Linked DNA regions of Callithrix jacchus. The protein of the gene in region 6 interacts with the protein of the main gene of each other region in a pairwise test. Links are inferred from orthologs where the notes say so. Each region holds a gene or a part of one and is shown on either strand. Other genes may lie near its edges.

Region 1 (4,149 bases), on a different chromosome or scaffold from region 6:
TAGAAAAATTAAGGCTGAGAAGTTAAGCCACCTAACATTAGTCATACAATTAGCTAGTAAGTGCCAGAGCCCCAAATGAATTCTTCTTTTGGTTCTCAATTCTATGTTATTTTGCTACCCCTACACTGTTTCTTTGTGCCTTCGTTTTCCCAGATGTAAAATGGTAGATTTTCCGTGTCCCAGTATACTGTTCTCAACCCTCTGTTTTTAACCAATATCAGTTTTTTTCTTCCACAGCCAGGAAATGTGAACGCCACACTGGCACTTCATGTACTTTTCCCCCTCCGGATTTAATGAATTAAGGGGAAAGAAAAGTTACCTATTCGTGGAGGGCTGGACAGTGCTATAAACATAAAGGCGTACCAGAGTCGGCCGACACACTGCTGCACTCTTTTATGAGACTGAGAAAGCGTCTCATCTTTCTCTTCCCAGCGGTAGCTGGGGTAGAACATAGAGCTACACAATAGCCTCTTGTTTAGTTTTATTAATTTTGAGGACTGGTGGGACAAAAGGATCAGACTGGCGACTCCCGGGCCCAATCGCAAACGTATACTAGGCCAGGCCCGGCCAACCAGTAGCGGCAAAAGAATGGTGGGCGGGACTTACGCTTCAGGGGCCCGCTCCGCCCAGGCCGCATCTAACAGCCCGCCCAGGGGCGGAGCCTCTGCAGAGCCCCGCCCACGACCCCCTCCTCCCTCGCCCCGCAGCTTCTGCAGCCCGCCATCGGGAGGCGGGGGAAACTCCCGGGGTGGGGGAGCGGAGGAAGAAAGGAGGGTGTCTCGCAGAGCTGTGACCTGGGTGGGGGCCTGCTAGTAATAGGAAGCGAGAGGGGAAGGAAAACGAAGGAGCACTGCTCCTTCCTTCATTATTTTAAGCAGGCTTTGGTGGAAGCTGCTTTTCAGCATTTCTATTATTTGCTTTTCTTCCTCCCGCTGTGGGGCGGAGAGCTGCACTGGCTCTCCCACGCGAGTATGCCGCGCTGTTGCCGTAGGTTATTATTGTAGTCTTTTGCAAAACCCTTTCCTTCTCCCCAGCCAGTCCCCGCGCAGACTCTCACGGCTACGGCAACCGAGTCGTGCCCCTCTAGTGGAAAGGCGAGAGCGAGGGTCCCCAACTTTCGCCCGAGCTCTCGGACCCCGCGGTTTAATTGTTTGAAACTTCCCCGCCCCCCGGCCCCGCCTCTCTTCCGCGCTCTCCTCGCTCCTCACTTCCAGGGTCCAGGCAAGCTCCCGCCCTTCTTTCCCCGCCCTCTACTCCGCCTTCCTCCCCAGTCCACCCGCCCTGCCGCTCCGGGGCGGTCCTAGCCGCTCACCGCAAGAAGAAAAGCCACCCGTTCGTCCCCCTCCCCTACCTCCCATCCTTTGCCCAGGAGCTGCCTTGGCAGTCACGCCCCTTCCTTCCGAGGAGCTTTCTGGCTGCCTAAACTGGTAGACCCCCTGAATTACTCCTCCGTCTCCGCTCTCTTTCGCCTCCTCTTCTCTTAGTTCTCTCCGCCTCCCCCTCCAACTACCACCACCTCCAGTCAATCTCGCCTCCGACCATCCGCTGCTCCACCCTCTGGCCCGGTATCCTGCCTGTCCACTGCCACCAAGGAGAGCCCGGACGGAGCAGCGAAGAGGGGAGCAGCCAGGAGTTGGGGCTTCCCCCCTGCCCATCCCTGGCCGCTGGCCCGGGACCGAAGCCACTTGAGCGAGCAGAGAGTCGTCACCTTGTCTTCGTTGCCTTCAGGGGTAGGAGACGTGTGGTTACTTTTTGCGGGGAACTGGGGCAGGAATCCATGGTGGCATGAACTTGGTCGTGCCCTCGGCGTGAGTGAATCGATCTAGGCGCGTGTGAGAATGCCCGTGTATTCTGCTGTCTTTGCAGCTGGCCATGAGTTTTTCAGGATGTGCAGCAAGTTAAATCGGTTAGAGTGTGCGCTGCTTTCCCGTCCTGCTTAAGTGAGGAGATGCTAGTGGGTACCACTACTAGATGGTATTTTTACTTCCTTGCCTCCTGGGGTTCTTCTGGGTCTCTAGGAAATTAATCACATTGAGGAGCTAAAGACCCGAGGGAAGCTGAAATCTACTTTTAGCCTAGCATGCAAGTCAGTGCTTATCTCAGATAACTAGATAGGTTTCTCCTAAGTGCTTAGGCTTGGGGTGTGGACTCACACTCCCTGAGGCGGGAGAAGGAGGGGTAGGACCGTGAATTCTTGAAGTTTTAAAGTCTGCGTAATCTAAAACATAAGGCTACTTTTTGAAATGTGTGGTGGTGGTGGTGCTTGTGGTGGTGGTGATAGTGGTCATGAGGAGGGAATTGCCCCTATCTACTTTAGAAGATCCAAAGATGTTAGTAAATAGTTTTGGGGGATCAGGCAGGTGTCTTGAGGGTCCAAGCCTGGGCCACTGTACGTTGGTGCTTCAACAGTAAGATGGACTTCGTGGATATGTGAAAATCAAGAGAAAGAAAAGTGGGAGTAAAAATACGCCTTTATAATAGACTATGAGCAGTTCCTGGTAAATTTCCACTAATAATAATATAATAATGTTCATAAAGTGACTAAATAAGATTAAATGAGCAAGGAAAGAGGAAGTTGGTGAGAAACAGCATTTTCAATCTCTAGCGTATGTTTTAGAAAGAATTTTTCAACAACCTAGGATGTTTAGTTCAGTTCTCCTCCCTCCGTGGAAGTTGGGAGGCAGTTTAAAACTTTTATGAATATAACCCTCTTCTCCCATTCAGAGAGGAAGATAATTAGTCACCATAATCTTCAATGATGAAGGGCTAAGGGTATTTAAGTCTCCTTGAGCTAGGCTTTGTGAAAAGTTCTTTCTCAGGCCAGCCTTTGTGAAGCCTTCTCAGACCTTTCAGCACCCTCATTTAGTAGCTAAGAATAGTTTGAAATGCCATTTTGGATGTGGGATACATTTTCATCCATCTCCCACCTATCTTCAATTGGACAAGTGCATCAAACTTGTAAGTCGTGGTGTTCAAAGACTTATTTCTGTGATGTCCTGAACTCATTGCTTATTTGGGAACACATTATTTACATACATTTAAAAATAGCTTTGGTTGATTTTAATGAGGGAAAGGAAGGTAGGAAGGTAGAGAAGGAACGTTACATGGCGACAGTTTTAAAGGCTATCCTGTTTCAGATCAGCTGGGAGGGAAAAGCTGGCCTAGCCAAACTACATTTTATAACTGGCCTGGGACACTTTAACAGCCAGGTGGTTGTAGAATAGTTGCATCTATTTACAGATGATAACTCAGGTTCCAGCTATTCTGTATGGGTTTATCCGGTGTCATCGACAGACACTTTCTGGCACGACATCATACTTCATTTTAAATTACTTCTTTCTTTGGAAAAGTTTGTGGCTTTGTAAAATTGAAAGTGTTTTTTTCTACCTTCATGGTGTAGATGTGAAGTAAACCTCGTTGTATGTGGAGTCACTTTTACATGAAATTTGTGGATCTGTTTAGCTATTTAAAAGATTTTAGAAAGGGAATTTTAATAATTAATAGTCAATTCAATTTTGGATTTAGAAATTAAAATCTCATTTCCAGTTTATGAAGTTGGATTTATTAGACTAATTCCCAACTAGGACATTTGTAGAGTTGCTTTCTCTGAGGTTTTGTAAAGACCACATCAGACTCTAGAATGCTTTAAGAATAGCCTAATCAGAAGGCAGGGGGATGGATACTATGACCTTGAGGTCCCATTGAGTGCCAGAATTCTAAGTGGGTACATCTGCTTCTGTGCCTCTCCTAAGAGCCCTCTCCCAGGGCCTGCGCCTTCTTTAAAAGGGTGTCTTTGTAATTAAGCAGCCCTTCTTCCCCATCCCCCTTTCTTCCTTTGATCCAGCTTTTTAAGGCCTTTTTTCCATTTGGAGACAAGAGGAGTTTCTCACACTTTCCTGTTCCCCTCTTAACGTTTCTTGTCCTTTACCTCAGAAAAGTCCCCTGAGGTTCTCAAGATGGTTAGAAGTTTTGTTTTGTTTGGGGCGTGGGGGTGGAGTGGGGGAGTTGTTACCAGTGAGGAGGAATAGAGGATATATTCCCGCTTGGGAAATGCTTGCGACCAGGTAGCCTCCTCCATGGAGACTGAGCATTTGGAATGCATGAGAACAGTCTATTCTTGGGGACTGTCTGGTAGAAATTGTCCTTTGC
Region 2 (3,500 bases), on a different chromosome or scaffold from region 6:
ACTTTGACCTAGCCATTTTACTTCCATTACTTATCCTACAGGCAAGTTCTATATAACTGACCAGCAATAAATAAATATAACAAGAATTTTCACTGTAGTTCTATATGTAATAGTGAAAAATGGTGAACAACCCAAAAATGTCTTAACTAGGGCACTGATGAAATATAATGTATCCATATACTGATGTTAAGCTATTAAAAAGAGTGAAGATAAGGCTGGACACAGTGGCTCACGCCTGTAATTCCAGTACTTTGGGAGGCCAAAGTGGGCAGATCACAGGGTCTGAAGGTCAAGCCAGCCTGACCAACATGGTGAAACCCCGTCTCTATTAAAAATACAAAAAAATTAGCCGGGTGTGGTGGCGGGTGCCTGCAATCCCAGCTACTCAGGGGGCTGAGACAGGAGAATCCACTGAACCCAGGAGGCAGAGGTTGCAGTGAACCAAGACCATGCCATTGCACTTCAGTGTGGACGACGAGAGTAAGACTCTGTCTCAAAAAAAAAAAAAAAGAAAGAAAAAAAAAAAGAGTGAAGATAGCTCCACACAAACGGATAGGGATACGCTATGTAAAGTGAAAAAAAAATAGGATATTAAATGGTACATGTATAATTTCATGCTAGAAACTAAAAAAAATCATGTAAGATTTTTACATATTAAAAGGAAAGTTAGGGCCGGGCGCGGTGGCTCACGCCTATAATCCCAGCACTTTGGGAGGCCGAGGCAGGTAGATCACAAGGTCAAGAAATCAAGACCATCCTGGTCAACAAGGTAAAACCCCGTCTCTACTAAAAATACAAAAATTAGCTGGGCATGGTGGTGCACGCCTGTAGTCCCAGCTACTCGGGAGGCTGAGGCAGGAGAATTGCTTGAACCCAGAAGGCAGAGGTTGCGGTTAGCCGAGATCATGCCATTGCACTCCAGTCTGGGTGACAATAGTGAAACTCAGTCTCAAAAAAAAAAAAAAAAAAAAATACAAAAAATAAAAGGAAAGTTAGAAGAATGTATGTAAATTTCCTGTGACCACAGACTGCCCTCACTATAAAGGCAGCAGAACGTTGGAAAGACCCAGGTTCCTGACTGACCAACCTCTGGAACAAGAGCTGCTTGTCAGGGCCAGACCTCCGTTTACTAGGGGACTGCCTTTCATTGAGAAATATTGATGCCAGTGAATTATGGATTCTCTTAGCACTTTATCCTTACCTAATACATTTCAAATGGTTACAAGTAGTGCTCTCTAATATAAGGCATTATTGAGAAATTGTATTTCTATGCCACAACCCTGCACTATTTTTAAAAATTATTTATTTATGTATTTATTTTGAGACAGAGTCTTGCTCTGTCACCCAGGCTGCAATCTCAGCTCACTGCAACCTCTACCTCCCAGATTCAAGTGATTCTCCTGCCTCAGCTTCCTAAGTAGCTGGGACTACAGGTCCCCACCACCATGCCCGGCTAATTTTTGTATTTTTAGTAGATACAGTGTTTCACCATATTGGCCAGGATGGTTTCGAACTCCTGACTTTGCGAACTGCCTGACTTGGGCTCCCAAAGTGCTGGGATTATAGGTGTAAGCCACTGTGCCTGGCCACTACTTCTTTTGAGACAGTGTCTTACTCTGTTGCTTGCCCATGCTGTAATGCAGTGATGCAATCTCGGCTCACTGCAACCTCAGCTTCCTGGGTGCAAGGGATTCTTGTGCCTCAGCCACCTGAGTAGCTGGATTATAGGCATGCACCAGCATAGTTGGCTAATTTTTGTATTTTTAGTAGAATGGGGTTGTGCCATGTTGGGCGGGTTGGTCTCAAACTCCTGGCCTCAAGTGATCCATGACTTTGGCCTCCCAAGGTGTTGAGATTATAGGTGTGAGTCGCCATGCCCAGCCTTGCTTTTTTACAGTATTCCACGTTAAAATTGTAGTGTTTTGGATAGTATAAATAAATATATTACTAAAATTAGTTTTAGTCGTTTCTTTTTAGTTTTTTAGAGTGGCCAGATTTTTAATTACTTATATGGACCACTAAGCCCAGCCCTAGCCTGCACTACTTTTTTTTTTTTGAGATGGAGTTTCGCTCGTTACCCAGGCTGGAGTGCAATGGCACGATCTCGGCTCACCGCAAGCTCCGCCTCCTGGGTTCAGGCAATTCTCCTGCCTCAGCCTCCATGCCTCCTTACAGGCACGAGCCACCATGCCCAGCTAATTTTTTTGTATTTTTAGTAGAGATGGGGTTTCACCATGTTGACCAGGATGGTCTCGATCTTTTGACCTCGTGATCCACCCGCCTCAGCCTCCCAAAGAGCTGGGATTACAGGCTTGAGCCACCGCGCTCTGCACTACTTTTTAAGAGGAAAGCCCACGAAAGAAAGACGAGGCAGAAGTCAAGGAAACCAGAGTCACCTGTTCAAGAGTGCCCAGCACCTACCTTAAGGGAGCGGTTGTGCCGCTGCAGCTCACGGCACAGGCTCTCAAGCTTGCTACGGGCCAGGACAGCCTTGCTGTGCTCACCACGCAGGTGGTCCTTCTCTTGTACCAGCTGGCTCTGCTTTTTCTGCAGGAGCTTCATCTGCTTCTGTGAGTTCCGGTGCTCCTCCAGCTGGGGACAGGGATAAGGAGGGCAGGTGAGCATCATGTGGGGCCTTCCTGGTGGGGATCACTACGGGGGTCTAGGGTCTCCTGAGCTGCTCTGCCCTGCACCCTCTCAGGCCATGAGTGCTGTCATGGGCTGATGCTGTGCTGGCACTTATATACTTCTCCCATGAACTGCTCACAATAACCCCAAAGGGTCAACCGTAGGGAGAGAGAAGGGCAAGCAGGGGCCACACAGCCAGCAAGTGCCAATTCCTATTACAGCTCTGACTCTGGGCCACTAGAGCCACTTCAGGCTGTTGCATTTCCCCAATTTGCTGAACACTCATGCCCAAGAATGAGACCACCTGCTACTCTACCTTGTGCCCATTAACAGACCCCCATTGCTCCCTCTCATTCCTTCAAAACGTTAGCACTGGGTTAGCACCAGCGCCTTTCCCAACATAATTACTTTTCTCATTTGTGGCCACTTCGGTATCAACAGACAATCCTTCTGACTCCCTGGCCTCACAGTTCTTCACCTCTTCCACAAACCCAGTCCTTTTCCCCCACTTCCATGAACCCTCCTGGCCACTACTTTTTTTTAAGACAGTGTTTCACTCTGTTGCCCATGCTGTAATGCAGTGGTGCAATCTCAGCTCACTGCAACCTCAGCTTCCTGGGTGCAAGGGATTCTCATGCCTCAGCCACCTGAGTAGCTGGATTATAGGCATGCACCAGCACACTTGGCTAATTTTTGTATTTTTAGTAGAATCCAGGCCTGTACAGCAGAAATATAATTAAACCATGTAAGTAATTAAAAATAGTCTACTGGCCACAATAAAAAAGTAAAAAGAAACGGTGAAATTAACTTTAGTTATATATATAACTAAAATTAAGCTAGGAGGAAAAGAAAAAAAATATATATATATATTT
Region 3 (3,500 bases), on a different chromosome or scaffold from region 6:
ACAGATTCTGGAAAAGTCATAGAACTTTTTTAAAAGGAAAGGAAAAAAAAAGCCCATCAGGTAAAGGCAGCCTGGTGACTATAATCCTGGGGGAGACTCCCCCTCCCACCCTGCTACTCCCTCCAGACTCACCCGAGGGCTGCAGCTTCCTCCGGATGGAGCCAGGGCGGCTACTGGTCCCGGAGCTGGGGGCTGAGTGGGCCCGTGCCGAGGGCTGTGGTATCTGACTAGCCGGCTCCCACTGTGGACAGGGAAGGGAGGGTAGGTGGGGGCCACAGCTGCCCTGGCCCGCACCCCGCTGTGCTGCTCTCTCCTCCCCTGCCCTGCCTCCTAACCTCCGAACACTCAGCTTCCTCATCTGCAAAATGGGCAGGATGCTCGTGCCCCAGCCTCATGTTATGTCAAGAATTAAATGAGATAGTACATGTAAAGAAGTCAACTAGTTACCACTTAGCACCTAGTGCCACGCCCATGGCCAGCTGGTCACCCCACAGGAGCCCTGGAGGCCAAGAATAAATACCTGCACTGAAGAGGCTTCTGGCTGTGGGTTCCAGCTGTAGCTCCACCCACCTCCGGCAGCTTCACCCCGCCCCACCCTGCTGCTCTGGGATGTTTCCGCCCAGCTCCCTGCTCCTGCCATGATCCAAAGTCTCTGACCCAGGGCTACCTGAGCCAGGTCTCTGGCAGTCCCCGTACCTCTAGATGCTCCTGGCTTGACCAGGACCCAAGCTCTGCCCTGCGTAGCCCGGGCCCCAGCTCCACAGAGCGCACCCGCTCAGCAAACTTGAGGGAATAGAGTGTCTCACTGGTGTTCTTCTCCACTGGGGACACCTAGAGGACACAAGAGCTCACTGCCCACCTGGGCCAGCTGGAGGGGCAGCAGGGTCACAAGGGAGCTCACAGCTGGAGACGTCAGAAGGCCTCCTGGAGAGGACCGAGGGACAGGGTAGGAGGGCAGGCAAGGTGGCAGAGGTGGCGTGGTCAAAGGTGGAGAGGAGGGACTGGGAGTTACACCAGGTGTGTGTGGCCAGGTCTGGGGCAGGGGGGCTGTTGCTGACTCTGGAGCTGCTGAGACAAGGGTCCTTCACAGCCTGGGGTGCCTGGGTCTTGCTGCTAGCTAAGTACCTACACGCCAGGGACTGCTCCCTTCTAACCCAAGGCCCTCACCTGTACCACCATGAGGGTCTTGCTGTCACCACTAAGCGAATCCTGCAGCAGGTAAGTGAGCTTGGAGTTGCGGAAGGGCACATGGCCCTGGCGGGAGCGCAGGGCAGCAATGACGTCCCCCAGAGCTGACAGTGACTTGTTGATGTGCTGCGCCTCCCGCAGACGGCTGCCTTCGGCTCCGGACTTGCCCACACGCTCGGACCCAGCCAAGTCCACTAGGTTCAACTTCCCTGCAGGGAAGGCACCAAGCAGATCAGACCTGCCCTGTCCCTGGGGGCATGGGGCTCCTCAGGCCAGGCTGCCCGCCCCCTCACCCGTGGTACGGAGGCCTGTGCTGCAGTCCACGCCTCGCACCGTCACGATGAGCAGCGCGTGCGAGCGGGAGCTGTGCTCATTCAGGTTGGTGAACTCCGTTGTGCGGTTGGTGTGGCCAAACTCAAACACCTGGGGGATGGGGAGTGGGAGGGTGAGGCACGGCGCTGAGAATGTGGTCCTCAGTCACCTGGCCCCGAGCACCCCAGAGGAGTGACACCCCCACCCCCGCAGTTTAGACGAGGAAACAGGCTCAGAGGGGCATGGGCACTTGCCCGAGGGTGCATGCTTAGGACACAGCAGAGCCTACATTCAAATCCAGGTCTTCCCTCTAGAGCAGCGTGGCTGTGGCCAGGGGCCCGCTCCTCCACACCTTGTTGATGTCGTCCACGCTCTGCACCTGGAACTCAGTCAGCCCTGGCACATACAGCTGCCCACTGCCGTCTGGGCACAGCCGGATCTCCAGTTTTTCCTGAGGCTCTTTCCCCAGCAGGTCCCTGGAGGGGCAGGTGAGACAGTCACCCCCTCCTCCCATTTCTGGCTGCTGCTTGTACTGCACCCAGAGCCCCAGTCAGGAGTGTTCCCCCAACCTACAAAGCCTTCTTCAGCCATCAGCTAAGCGCATATCCTCCAGCTCCTCCCCCATAACTCAGCTGAACATGTGGAGACCTCACTGTTGCCCAGAAGGCCTGTGGATGGCGCTACTCCTGCCTCCGAAATGCAATGAGCCCCTGCGGGCAGGGCCTGCAGCTGCCCACTCCCACCCATGGCCACCTGCTGCAGCCCACAGGGAGGAGAGTCACAACTTGCAGCTAGGTCCCTTGGCAGCCTCATCTGGTCCCTGCACTCCCTTCAGGAAGACCCCACTTCCTATCTCCCGTTACTCCAGCACCACCCCACCTGAGGACCCCAAAGCTGCCCCTGAGGCCTACTCCCCTCACACTGGGGCTCCTACCTGAGGACCTCGTTGTAGATCTCGGCGGCGCTGACAGTGATGGTGTACTCCCAGTCGGATGCCTTCTCCTGCACCTCGGAGAAGAGCAGCTGCAGGGCCCGCTGGTTGATACCTGGGTTCTCTGGGGTCCCCTGGGGGCAGAAGGAAAGGCCCCAGTGAGCCAGGCCTGTCCCCAAAGATGCTTGTGTGGCATCTGTCCCCCAAGCCCTTTGGCTATCCCTCACAGGCAAGTCTCCTTGCCCAAACCTCCTACCTACAAGCCAGTGCCCCCCAAAATGCCCTCTGCCAGCTGCAGGCTATTGTGCCTCTATTTCCCCGACATTAAAATGGCATCACCCTGCCAGGACTGCCCTGAGACTTAGGGTACAGCGCTGGGGTGAGGGACCTGGCCAGACCACACAGACAGCTGAGGGACAGGTGCATGCCTGGCCCTGCAGGGCCACCTAGAAGGGGCACTAGAAATGAATGATCCCGCCTCTGCCCAGAAAGGGGCTGAGTCTCAGGGAGGCTGTGACCTGGGTTCTGTGGGTGATGGAAAGGAGGCACAGGTGGAGCAGGACAGGGTCCTGGGGCAGGAGGGGTGGGCTGGCCTTTCTAGAAGGAAACCTGGAGTCCCCACCTGGGCCCTCAAGGCCCTGGGAGTTGGACCCTCGCCCCTCCTCCGACAGCACCTCCCACCCTCTCTCTATTCCTGCCGCAGGGGCCTCCTGGCCAAGCCTCAGGTGCGGCTGGTGTGCTCTGGCCTCTTGGCCTTGGCCCTGCAGCTCCCTCTGCCCCAGGTGCTCCTGTTTGCCCCTCGGCCAGCTCAGTCATCTCCCTCAGGGAGGCTGCTCCCAAGATGCCCCCTCAGGGAGGCTGTTCCTTCGTCCAGCACCCCCAAACACCCCGTCCCTTCCCCTTGTCAGTTCCACATCCCTGGTTTTATTTTTCTCCATGGCCTGACGGGACACTCACTGATTTGTGTGGACCCTGCTGTCTCCCCATAGCCAGGTTGGTCCTGTGGGGCCAGGGACTGTTTGGGTCACAGCCATGCCTGGCACAGTGCCTGGTACACTTCAGGCCTCAG
Region 4 (3,500 bases), on a different chromosome or scaffold from region 6:
GCACCTCACTGCTCGTGTCATCTATTAAGGTGGTGGCAATGGATTTGGACACCATTTTACCCAAGATCTTCTTTTGTGCCTGAACAGCCAGGTTTTTGGAATTAAAGACATCTGTGGCCACTAAAAAAAAAGGAGAGGAAAAGAATTAACAATCAGCAAACATCAGCAAGAGAAGTGAACTAAAAACACATATTAGGGAGTACTGTTTTTCCTCGTTTTCCCACCATTTGTGATTTGTCTTTCATCCATTGACATTAGTCTCTGTTCAGAAAAGAATTTTAGGCTGGGCACAGTGGCTCACGCCAGTAATCCCAACATTTTGGGAGGCTGAGCTGGGCGGATCACTTGAGGTCAGAAGTTTGAGACCAGCCTGGCCAACATGGGAGCAGTGGTACATGCCTATAATCCCAGCTACTTGGGAGGCTGAGGCAGAAGAATTGCTTGAACCCAGGAGGTGGAGGTTGCAGTGAGCTGAGTTTGCTCCACGGCACTTTAGCTTGGGTGACACAGCGACACTACTGTCTCAGAACAAAAAACAAATACAAAATCAGCTCTACACCTGTCATCTGGCAACAGCAACCAGAAGTGACTTAAAAGGAATTCATTTAAATGGAAGAATAAATGGTAAAGGCATAATATTGAATAAAATGGCAAATTCATGGAAGCAAATCAAAAGGAGAGCCCTGTTTTATAATGCAGTTGCAAAAAGTCAAATTTCTTAAGCATTGACCAACGCCCACCTATTTGTCCTAACCACCTTGAGTTTCAACCTACAGAATTTGACTGTTAGAAAGAAGTACTCCTTGGAGAGCTCACTGTCACTTACTATTTCTGATGAATGGTCATTGTTCACTTTACATTTTTATATGTTTTGGAGAAATAACCTTTTTCATCAGCTAGTGAAATGTGACACATGAGAAATATACTTTGAAAAAGATGTTGCTAAGAGTTTGCTTTTGGAATTATCGTAACTTCTGACAGATCTTTACAATATACACAATCATGTTTGTACGTATCATATAAAAGAGACACTATTTATAATCTTCCTAGCCTAGAGCTGGTTAGTGAAAATGCTCAATAAATGTGTATTCTCCAAACCAAGTTTACATTTTATCTACCACAATTTCCCCCACTCTATGCATGTAGCAATCTTTTTTGCTTTCTTCTTTTTTGAGATAGAGTTTTGCTCTTGTTCCCCCAGGCTGGAGTCCAATGGCACAACCTTGGCTCACTGCAACCTCCGCCTCCTGGGTTCGCTTGCCTCAGCCTCCCGAGTAGCTGGGATTTCAGGTGTGTACCACCATGCCCTGCTAATTTTGTATTTTTAGTAGAGATGAGGTTTCACCATGTTGGCCAGGCTGGTCTCGAACTCCTGACCTTGGGTGATCTGCCCACCTCAGCCTTCCAAAGTGCTGGGATTACAGGTATGAGCCACTGTGTCTGCCCCATGCAGCAATCTTTAAGCTAATCCTCTACAACTGTGCTCTCTCCTGCTTCTCCAAAGGCTTAAGAACTGCAGTTCTTTGGGTGTCTACTCCATCTCTGAGTCAAGGGACAACTGTTCTCTCCATATATGCCAGTGTTTAAGCCTAGGCCTGGGTGTTGGAAAGCAGTCATTTTGTAATGAAAGATAAAAAGCTTTAAAATACAGATATACACAAATAGGTCAAGGCATCAATGATAATATAAGATTATTTCTAGTTTGGATAGGCTAGTATCATTAGGAAGCAAAAAGGCAGCTGCTTCAAAATCCAGGCTGGGAGGACATATAAGAAGAGTGACTCCCTTAATGCGGAACTGCCATGTTGGATTTAACATTGGGGAAAGGTGAGGTGTGGTGGCTCACACCTACAATCCCAGCACTTTGGCAGGCCAAGGTAGTGAGAGGATCGCTTATGCCCAGGAGTTTGAGACCAGCATGGGCAACATAGCAAAACCCCATCGTGACAAAAAAACTACACACACACACACACAAAAATTAGCCAACTGTGGTGGCATGCACCTGTCGTCCCAGTTACTAGGGAGGTGTAGGTGGGAGAATCATCTGAGCCTGGAAAGTTCAGGCTGCAGCGACCCGTGACTACACCACTGCACTCTAGCCTGGGCAACAGGGTGAGACCCTGTCTCAGAAAAAATTGAATTAAATAAAATTGAGGAAAAGAAGAACCAAATTAAGTTTGAAAAATTTGGACCAAAGTAGTTCATGGTATATAGTATAGGTAGCTCAAAAGGGTTCCTTATGACCCGAGTGTCATTTATAAATGTACAGTGCCAGACATCCTCTAAAAGAATGTCTCAGTTAAATGAGAAAGGGTGTCTTCACAAATGTCGATATTTAAACTTCTGAAACATGAACTGAAACTGCAGAACTAAAATATATTTTGAAAAAGAGAAGGAAAGTGAAAATGTGTGAGAAACAGCCAACTTCATGCAGAAGTTTCCAGGCCCTTTTATGTTTTTATCATTTAAGCAGAAGTCCGTTTCTATTCCTGTTCTTCAACGACTTGCAAAAGAGTTTAAAGATTAAGTCACACTAAAGAATTTATGTCAAAAGAAATAGTACACATGTAGCTAACTTATCATATTAAAACCAGGGACCATCTTTCATCTCAGAACTCCTGACACAGACCTCAAAAAAAAAATTCAACAAACTTGATTTATATAGGGATACCCAATCAATTTCAGCTGCACAGCAAATAACTAGGATTTCAGTAATATATTCCATATAAAGTCGAAATGTTACTGTGTTTTTAATGTTTAAGAACATGGCATAGTCTACAAATATCTTACCTGGGATTTACTACAAGTCTATCAGTTGGACATACTTTATGTTGTGAAATACTGAAAACAGAGGGAGAGGTATTCATACTATTTCTCCTTTATCCAAGGCTGGACTTTCAAGTTTGCACCTCTTCTCAGCTAAGTTTCTGATTAAATCTCAATGTCTCATTTAACTTCAAATATGGAAAACAAAACCTCTATGATATAGCACTTCAAATTCCTGCAAGAGAGTGTGTAAAAGGCATATCTATTGCCAACTAAGCAAGATCATTCCCCATTTACTGGTAATCATGTATGAATCAAGATAGAGAAGTTGATCTCTGAGGCTTTCATATTTGTCTTAGAGAAACTTCAAATCCTGCTCCAGAAACACAGCAGCTCTGTCACACTTTCCTTTTATCCTTTGTATTATTCCAGTGAAGTCACCTTTTTAAGTGAGGTTGAAGCTCTTTGTCCCCCTCCACCATCTGAAGCTCTTCTCCTCCTCCACCAAGAACATGCATGAGTAGATTTATTTTCCAGCATTAGAGAAAGCTTTTCTGGAGCCAACCGGGACCTGTGGCTGAGAGTCACTGGCCAGGGATGTGTGGTCTGTGCTCATGAAGTGTGTTTCTTTTTCTTGCAAATTAACTGCTGTTAGCCATTCCTGTTCAGGCTCATTTGTCACTTCCACATACTCCACCAGATCCCTTAAAGGTCTGTTGTATCTTAGAGCTAGT
Region 5 (4,135 bases), on a different chromosome or scaffold from region 6:
TGCTCTCTTTAAAATAGCCAATCGGGATTTAGTTAGCTTGCACGGTCTAACCCTAGCCAAGAGCGGAACGACACAGCAGTAGGGGCGACCCCCATCAGGCACAGGCACCCTTTCTCCCCTTGTCCAAGTGTGCGGCCACCATTGCTCCATCCGTGAGCCACACCCTTCTGTAGACGTAAACTGCCTTGCTGGGAGACTATTTCTTTTCTTTTCTTTTTTTTTTTTTTTGAGACGAAGTTTCGCTCTTGTTACCCAGGCTGGAGTGCAATGGCGCCATCTCGGCTCACCACAACCTCCGCCCCCTGGGTTCAGGCAATTCTCCTGCCTCAGCCTCCTGAGTAGCTGGGATTACAGGCACGCGCCACCATGCCCAGCTAATTTTTTGTATTTTTAGTAGAGACGGGGTTTCACCATGTTGACCAGGATGGTCTCGATCTCTTGACCTCGTGATCCACCCGCTTCGGCCTCCCAAAGTGCTGGGATTACAGGCTTGAGCCACCGCGCCCAGCCTTTTTACCCAGACTGGAGTGAAGTGGCGTGACCACGGCTCACTGCAGCCTCCGCCTCCAGGTGTTAAGCCATCCTCCTGCCTCAGCCTCCCAAATAGCTGGAACTACAGGCTATTACTGCACGCCACTACTCCTGGCAAATTTTTGTAATTTTTGTAGAGACAGGGGTCTCGCCATGTTGCTGAAGCTGATCTCAAACACTTGGGCTCGAGTGATCGACCGCCTCAGCTTTCCAGAGTGCTGGGATTACAGGTGTGAGCCTTGGTGCTTGACCCACCCTAGCTCTTGAGAAATAAAATCCAAGAGTCAGAGGTGGGCCGGGCACAGTGGCTCACACCTGTAATCCCAGCACTTTGGGAGGCTGAGGTTGGCAGATCACCTGAGGTCAGGAGTTCGAGACCAGCCTGACCAACACAGAGGAACCGCCCCCCCTCTATTAAAAATACAAAATCAGCTGTGTGTGGTGGCGGGTGCCTGTAATTCCATTTACTTGGGAGGCTGAGGCAGGAGAATGGCTTGAACCTGGGAGGCAGAAGTGGCAGTGAGCCAAGATCACACCACTGTACTTCAGCCTGGGAGATAAAGCGAGACCCTGTCTCAAAAAAAAAAAAAAAAAAGAGAGAGATGGAAGGGCCATGGGCTTGGAGGCTGAGATGAGGGGGGCTGAAACCTTGGGAGTCAGGTGTGCGTGCCCCGCTAGGGCTGCAGGAAACCACTATCCTCAGAAAGGAAACAACACAATAACAAGTCATGTGACCAGGGGAGGGAGTTTCCTGTTTCCTGGCCCCTCCTAGGCCAAGCTTGGCCAGCCCAGGCCTGAACAGGCAGTGGCCAAAGTGACCCCAAGAGAGTATCCAGGGACTCAGGCCTCTGATCAAGTTAACCCCAGAGGATCAGAGAGGTAGAGAGAGCTGAACCCCTCATTTAGGAGGGCCTGGGGAAAAGAGGGAATTCTTGAGGTTTCCTTCTCAGGCACAAACAGAAGAGGGAAGGGGACAAAGAGGTAGTGAGGGTCAAGAAGGCAGAGAAGGGGGAGGTCAGGACAGCCTTGTTAGGTAGTGAGCTGCCTGTCCAGGGAGGCATTCAAATGTGCCCAATCAACCTTGATTCCAAAATCCCTTCTAGAGGGGTAGTCAATGCCCCATTTCACTGCAGAGGAAATTGAGGTTGTCCTTTGTCCTGGATGACGAAGGCAAGAGCTCACAGCAGGTTGTGGTTTTAGGGGGCGACGAAGGAGAAGCATTCAGAGGGCACTGGCTTCTGGACAGCAATGAGTGCCCGGGCCACGCGGCCCCGAAGCCGGCGAGGGAGGCATGTTCCACCCGTAAGTGTCCCCTCTCCCCTCCACACCCAGCTCCTTGGGATGCCAAGGTCCTGTCCTGCCTCGCTCAGAGCTGGGCCCCGGGGGTCCTTTGCAGGGTGAACTGGACCCTGTGGCTGAGAGTTCAGAGGAGGGTGAAGCAGCCGGTGGGAGCTCCAAGCCTAGCCTTACCCCACCTCTGGGGAGCTCTGGGCCAGAGCACCTGGGCCCCATTGAGGAGGTCAGTGGCCGAAGCCTAGAAAGCAGGTAAGACCCACTTGGTCTATGCCCTTCAGTCCAGTCCAGATGCATCTTTGGCCCCTACAGGTCTGGTGCACCTCCTCTGCTCACTCACTTGTCATGGCTCCCTACTGCCCTCAGCCTGACTGACTTTCTTTCCTTCTTTTTTTTTTTTTTTTGAGACGGAGTTTCGCTCTTGTCACCCAGGCTGGAGTGCAATGGTGCAATCTCGGCTCACTGCAACCTCCGCCTCCTGGGTTCAGGCAATTCTCCTGCCTCAGCCTCCTGAGTAGCTGGGATTACAGGCACGCGCCACTATGCCCAGCTAATTTTTTGTATTTGGAGCCACCACGCCCGGCTTATTTCTTTTTCTTTTATTTCTTTCTCCTTCCTTCCTTTTTTCCTTCCTCTTTCTTTCCTTCTTTTTTCTTTCTTTTCTTTCTTTCTTTGTCTTATTTCTTTCCTTCTTTCTTCCTCCTTCCTTCCTTTCTTTCCTTCTTTTTTCTTTCTTTCTCTTTTTCTCTCTTTGTCTCTTTCTCTCTTTCTGTGTTTTTGAGTCATGCTCTGTTGCCCAGGCTGCAGTGCAGTTGTGCGATCTCCGCTCACAGCAACCTCTGCCTTCCGAGTTCAGCTTCCCGAGTACCTGGGATTACAGGCATGCGCCACCACGCAGGCTAAATAAAGACAGGGTCTCACTGTGTTGGCCAGGCTGGCCTTGAACTTCTGATCTCAAGTGATCTGCTCACTTGGGCCTCCAAAAGTGTCGGGATTACAAGTGTGAGCTGCCGCCCCAAAAGACCCCATTTCCAGAACCTTCTGTCTCTCACCCCCAGGCCTTCCCCAGTGCCTGTCACACTCCAGTTTACTCTGCACTCTCCGTCTCAGGCCCAGGTCTCCCCCCGCAGTTCCTCCACCCCTCTATCCAGCCTCTTCCCTGAATTCCCAGCCCCCCAGTCTCACCCTGGGATGCCAGTCCCAGAACACACAGCTCTTGCCAACTCTCTGCCCCGCTCACACCTTCCCAAGACCATGAAGTCTAAGCCCCCAGAATTCCCTGCCCAGGGCCACTCACGGTGGCTCACGCCTGTAATCCCAGCACTTTGGGAGGCCAAGTCACGCGGATCACCTGAGGTCAGGAGTTTGAGACCTGGCCAACGTGGAGAAACCCCGTCTCTACTAGAAATACAAAAATTAGCCGGGCATGGTCGTGGGTGCCCGTAATCCCAGCTACTCTGGAGGCTGAGGCAGTAGAGTCGCTTGAACCCAAGAGGCGGAGGTTGCAGTGAGCTGAGATCGCGCCACTGCACTCCAGGCTGGGCAACAGAGTGAGACTCCATCTTAAAAAAAAAATAATTCAGGCTGGGCATGGTGGCTCACGCCTATAATCCCAGCACTTTGGGAGGCTGAGGCGGGTAGATCACGAGGTCAAGAGATCGAGACCATCCTGGTCAACAAGGTGAAACCCCGTCTCTACTAAAAATACAAAAATCAGCTGGGCATGGTGGTGCGCCCCTGTAGTCCCAGCTACTTGGGAGGCTGAGGCAGGAGCATTGCTTGAACCCAGAAGGCGGAGGTTTCGGTGAGCCGAGATCGTGCCATTGCACTCCAGCCTGGGTAACAACAGCGAAACTCCGTCTCAAAAAAAAAAAAAAAAAAAGACAATCCTGGTCAACATGGTGAAACCCTGTCTCTACTAAAAATATAAAAAATTAGCTGGGCATGGTGGTGCGTGCCTGTAATCCCAGCTACTCAGGAGGCTGAGGCAGGAGAATTGCCTGAACCCAGGAGGCGGAGGTTGCAGTGAACCAAGATTGCGCCACTGCCTGGGTAACAAGAGCAAAACTCCATCTCAAAAATAATAATAATAATAATTATTATTATTATTATTATTCGTGGCCAGTCATGGTGGCTCATGCTTGAAATTGCAGCGCTTTGGGAGGCCATGGTGGGCAGATCACTAGATCAGGTGTTCAAGACCAGCCTGACCAACATGGTGAAACCCTGTCTCAACTACAAATATAAAAATTAGTTGGGCATGGTGGTGGGCGCCTGTAATCCCAGCTACTCAGAAAGCTGAGGCAGGAGA
Region 6 (3,500 bases):
TCACTTGAGGTCAGGAGTTTGATACTAGCTTGGCCAACATGGTGAAATCCATCTCTACTAAAAATACAAAATAATTAGCTGGGCATGGTGGCTCACGCCTATAATCCCAGCTACTCAGGAGGCTGAGGCAGGATAATCTCTTGAACCTGGGAGGCGGAGGTTTCGATGAACCAGGATTGTGCCACTACACCCCAGTCTGGGTGACAGAGTGCGACTCTGTCTCAAAATATATATATATTTATACATTTAATAATATATATATTAAAATGTTTTTCCTTATGAAAGTAATACTTGCTCATCAAAAGAAATTTAGAAAATACGGAATAATGGAAAGAGGAGGGGAAACAATTGCCTTTAGTTCAGCTGCTTAAAGAATGCCACTATTCATAGTTTGGTCTATTTCCTTTGAGTTGCTGGTGTATTCATTTTTTAGCTTATTGTAGTTAAGGATACTAACAGATTTTCAGTTACTGTTTATTGAAACTTAAGCATTTTTCATATAATAGTATCTGCTTTGTTTAATTTTCCAACTTTGTGTTATAAAGAAAGAATTAAAGACAGTGAACACAGGATCATAAAATTGAATTTCATGATTTAAATTGTAGTAACGAACATTGATTGAGCGCTTAGGCACCAGGCCCTGTGTCTTGCATTTTATATGCTTTACTTCCATCTTCATAATAGTTTATGTAAAGTCAGTGTTGTTATTTAGAGGAAGAAACCAAGACTTTAATAACTAACTTGCCCATGAAGGCTAAAACGTAGATTGAATTTAAACCTTGATCTCTCTGACACCATACTCTTTTTTTTGAGACAGAGTCTTGCTCTGTTGCCCAGGCTGGAGTACAATGGCACATTCTTGGCTCACTGCAACCTCTGCCCTCTGGGTTCAAGCAGTTCTTCTGCCTCAGACTCCTGAGTAGTTGAGAGTACAGGTGTGTGCCACCACACCTGGCTAATTTTTTTTTTTGGATTTTTAGTAGAGCTGTTTTACCTGTTGGTCAGGCTGGTCTTGAACTCCTGACCTCAAATGATCTGCCTGCCTCAGTTTCCCAAACTGCTGTGATTACAGGTGTGAGCCATTGTGCCTGGCCTGACTCCATACCCTTAACCATTGTGTCATAGTCGAGGATATGCATACACTAGGTTAACTTCATTTTGTCCTTTAGTGTATGTACCTGGGGGGTTAGAGGGGGTGTTTTTGTGATAAAGTCATTAAACATTGAGGTGACATTTAAATGAATAAGAATATGAATCCAAGGTTGTATCTTCCAAACTAGGGGTAAAAAAGGTATTTTATTCTTGAACTAGTTGCAAGAATAGGATGCTTTTGGGGTCTTGCATGGTCTGGATGTCTTCTGTATGTTTATGAAGACATGAAGAAAAAGTAAACAATTTATATTTTGTTTCTACAGCTAATTTGTGAATGGGAGACTAGTTCATAAATTAATAGTTCTTTCATTATATATGACTGAAATAAATAATGTCAAGTGATATTATAGAACATTACAAATAAATTGTGGGAATTTCCAAGTTTTGAAGACTGTTCTTAGGGGATAAATGATCTTGTGAATTAAGCCAAAAACTATGTTTGATATAGTTAAGAATAAAACACATTTTTTTAAATGTTGTTTCAATTAGGCAACAGCTGTTTACCAAGCAAAGGAGAAACTCAAGTCAATAGAAAAAGCAAGAAAAGGTTAGTATTATGGGAAGATGGAATTACCTGAAAAGTTAAGGTTCTAGTTTCAAGAAACCAATACGAGAGGATATAACTGATAATCATTTGCTGCTGTTGAAAAAAATTGAATAAATTTTTCTTGTAAAGTGTGTTATGTTCTCGTATTGTGGTAGGTGTTGTGAGGGAGGTAGAAATATGACATCCTTTTTTAGATTATAAAAAGCAGTTAATACAAGGCAGTTTTTTGCTGTGGGCCGGAATGTGCCGTAAAAACAGTAAGTTTATAAAATTGGTGGGACAGGGGAAGAGAAATATGGGCTGTAAGTGGGATTTGTACCAGATCTTGAAGGCTAGGGCAGAGAGTGAAAGGACATCCATTGGACAACTGAGCTGGGACTGAAACATCATGAAGTCAGAGCCAGTTACAACCTTGGCATGTAAGTACATTTAGTGGTGCAGAGGCCCACAAGCCTTCCTGCGCTACTGTCCCTCTGTCAAAGGCTCCTGTTACGGATCTCACTTGACCTGTTAGTTTGTCGTACTAAAGGTCAGAATTGTAATTACAACTTTGGTTACTTGCCTTTAATGACTTGTAGATATGGTTTTACATTTAGTCATCTCAGATTTATTGTCTAACTTTCCTCTTTTTAGGGAGCCCATGTTTTGATTGTTACATGTGAAAAATAGCTAATATTCTCTTAAGAGTTAAGTTAGGCTTCTGTAGCAAGAAACAAATCTCTAGGAGAGATGACTGAGGCTGGCTATTGAATTCTAAATCATAGTTTGATTTTGTTTTTAATCTTCAAAAATTTTACACACATACACTTTGTTACTTTGAAACAGTATCTAAAATTTGTAAAATAAAAAGTGTGGTGTTCTCACTTCTCGGTGGTAACTACTATTAATGTTTGGTATATGTCCTTCTAGATTTTTCTTCTAGATCTGTGAGTATGTATGTAGTAAAAATACAAATACACATATTTACATATATTTTAAACAGTCAGGTAATACCATACATATTATTTAGCCATATAGTTTTTTTTTTACCTAATGAAGACATTGTAGACATCTTTCTACTCAGGTCTGTTTAAGAGCCTCACGGCATATTAATCAAACAGTGGTGTGAACTGTCTGCTCTGATTTCATAGCTTGGATGTCATTTCAAAGTGAAACGCTGTTTTCTCTTTTATTTGTGCTTACTGTTGCTTTCAGAAGAGTAATAGTATTTTGAGATTATTGAGTGCTGTCATGCTAATCTCCCAGAACTGTTTATGTCAGCTGATTTTTCTGCATTAGTATCTTGTTTTTGGAGATTTAAGTTTATACTAAATATGTAGGTATTGTTAAGGAAGGCGGGTGACTGAGATTATTTTATTTTCAGATAATTTAAAAGTAAATATGATGTGTAACTGATATACATACTTCTAAACTTGTATGTTAGATTACAGGTTATACTATCCTCTTAACTCTTTCAGGTGCTATTTCCTCTGAAGAAATAATTAAGTATGCACATAGGATCAGTGCAAGTAATGCTGTATGTGCTCCCCTAACCTGGGTTCCAGGTAAACATACTTCTCTTTTATGCTAGATATATGTGGTTTTGAAAATTCTTAGGTGACTGTGTACAGAAATAGATTTAATATAGAATGTATTTATGCTTTGAAATCTCTGCTACATATTTTCACATTTTTAATGGTTTGTAAGTAATGATAGAGGCCATGGGTTTTATAAATTTGGTTTCCTACAAAGCCATTGTTGCTAGGCACTGCGTTTCTTTCCTCTTTTGAAATAATAAATTGATGATTTTTTTTAAAGTACA

Evidence for each region.
Region 1: the proteins of MED4 (region 6) and AMOT interact in binary tests that used the Homo sapiens proteins (3 or more experiments, as listed by UniProt). The two-hybrid records come from large-scale screens. The link is inferred for Callithrix jacchus from reciprocal best matches to the Homo sapiens genes MED4 and AMOT.
Region 2: the proteins of MED4 (region 6) and TXLNA interact in binary tests that used the Homo sapiens proteins (3 or more experiments, as listed by UniProt). The two-hybrid records come from large-scale screens. The link is inferred for Callithrix jacchus from reciprocal best matches to the Homo sapiens genes MED4 and TXLNA.
Region 3: the proteins of MED4 (region 6) and KIFC3 interact in binary tests that used the Homo sapiens proteins (3 or more experiments, as listed by UniProt). The two-hybrid records come from large-scale screens. The link is inferred for Callithrix jacchus from reciprocal best matches to the Homo sapiens genes MED4 and KIFC3.
Region 4: the proteins of MED4 (region 6) and TNFAIP8 interact in binary tests that used the Homo sapiens proteins (3 or more experiments, as listed by UniProt). The two-hybrid records come from large-scale screens. The link is inferred for Callithrix jacchus from reciprocal best matches to the Homo sapiens genes MED4 and TNFAIP8.
Region 5: the proteins of MED4 (region 6) and USHBP1 interact in binary tests that used the Homo sapiens proteins (3 or more experiments, as listed by UniProt). The two-hybrid records come from large-scale screens. The link is inferred for Callithrix jacchus from reciprocal best matches to the Homo sapiens genes MED4 and USHBP1.

The regions. Positions count from the first base shown.
Region 1 is NC_133524.1:109,163,941-109,168,089, reverse strand, and holds the start of AMOT (angiomotin), read left to right. Parts: upstream 1-1,349; 5' UTR 1,350-1,730; intron 1,731-2,829; exon of another isoform or gene 2,830-2,958; intron 2,959-4,149.
Region 2 is NC_133508.1:68,792,915-68,796,414, reverse strand, and holds part of TXLNA (alpha-taxilin), read right to left. Parts: intron 2,593-3,500; coding exon 2,422-2,592; intron 1-2,421. UniProt on the Homo sapiens protein: May be involved in intracellular vesicle traffic and potentially in calcium-dependent exocytosis in neuroendocrine cells.
Region 3 is NC_133521.1:15,646,606-15,650,105, forward strand, and holds part of KIFC3 (kinesin-like protein KIFC3), read right to left. Parts: intron 2,566-3,500; coding exon 2,435-2,565; intron 1,977-2,434; coding exon 1,853-1,976; intron 1,612-1,852; coding exon 1,482-1,611; intron 1,398-1,481; coding exon 1,168-1,397; intron 832-1,167; coding exon 697-831; intron 242-696; coding exon 133-241; coding exon of another isoform or gene 17-132; exon of another isoform or gene 1-16. UniProt on the Homo sapiens protein: Minus-end microtubule-dependent motor protein. Involved in apically targeted transport. Required for zonula adherens maintenance.
Region 4 is NC_133503.1:90,197,064-90,200,563, forward strand, and holds part of TNFAIP8 (tumor necrosis factor alpha-induced protein 8), read right to left. Parts: intron 121-3,500; coding exon 1-120. UniProt on the Homo sapiens protein: Acts as a negative mediator of apoptosis and may play a role in tumor progression.
Region 5 is NC_133523.1:15,865,003-15,869,137, reverse strand, and holds the start of USHBP1 (harmonin-binding protein USHBP1), read left to right. Parts: upstream 1-1,335; 5' UTR 1,336-1,410; intron 1,411-1,731; 5' UTR 1,732-1,779; coding exon 1,780-1,833; intron 1,834-1,927; coding exon 1,928-2,076; intron 2,077-4,135.
Region 6 is NC_133502.1:67,854,617-67,858,116, forward strand, and holds part of MED4 (mediator of RNA polymerase II transcription subunit 4), read left to right. Parts: intron 1-1,641; coding exon 1,642-1,699; intron 1,700-3,156; coding exon 3,157-3,243; intron 3,244-3,500. UniProt on the Homo sapiens protein: Component of the Mediator complex, a coactivator involved in the regulated transcription of nearly all RNA polymerase II-dependent genes.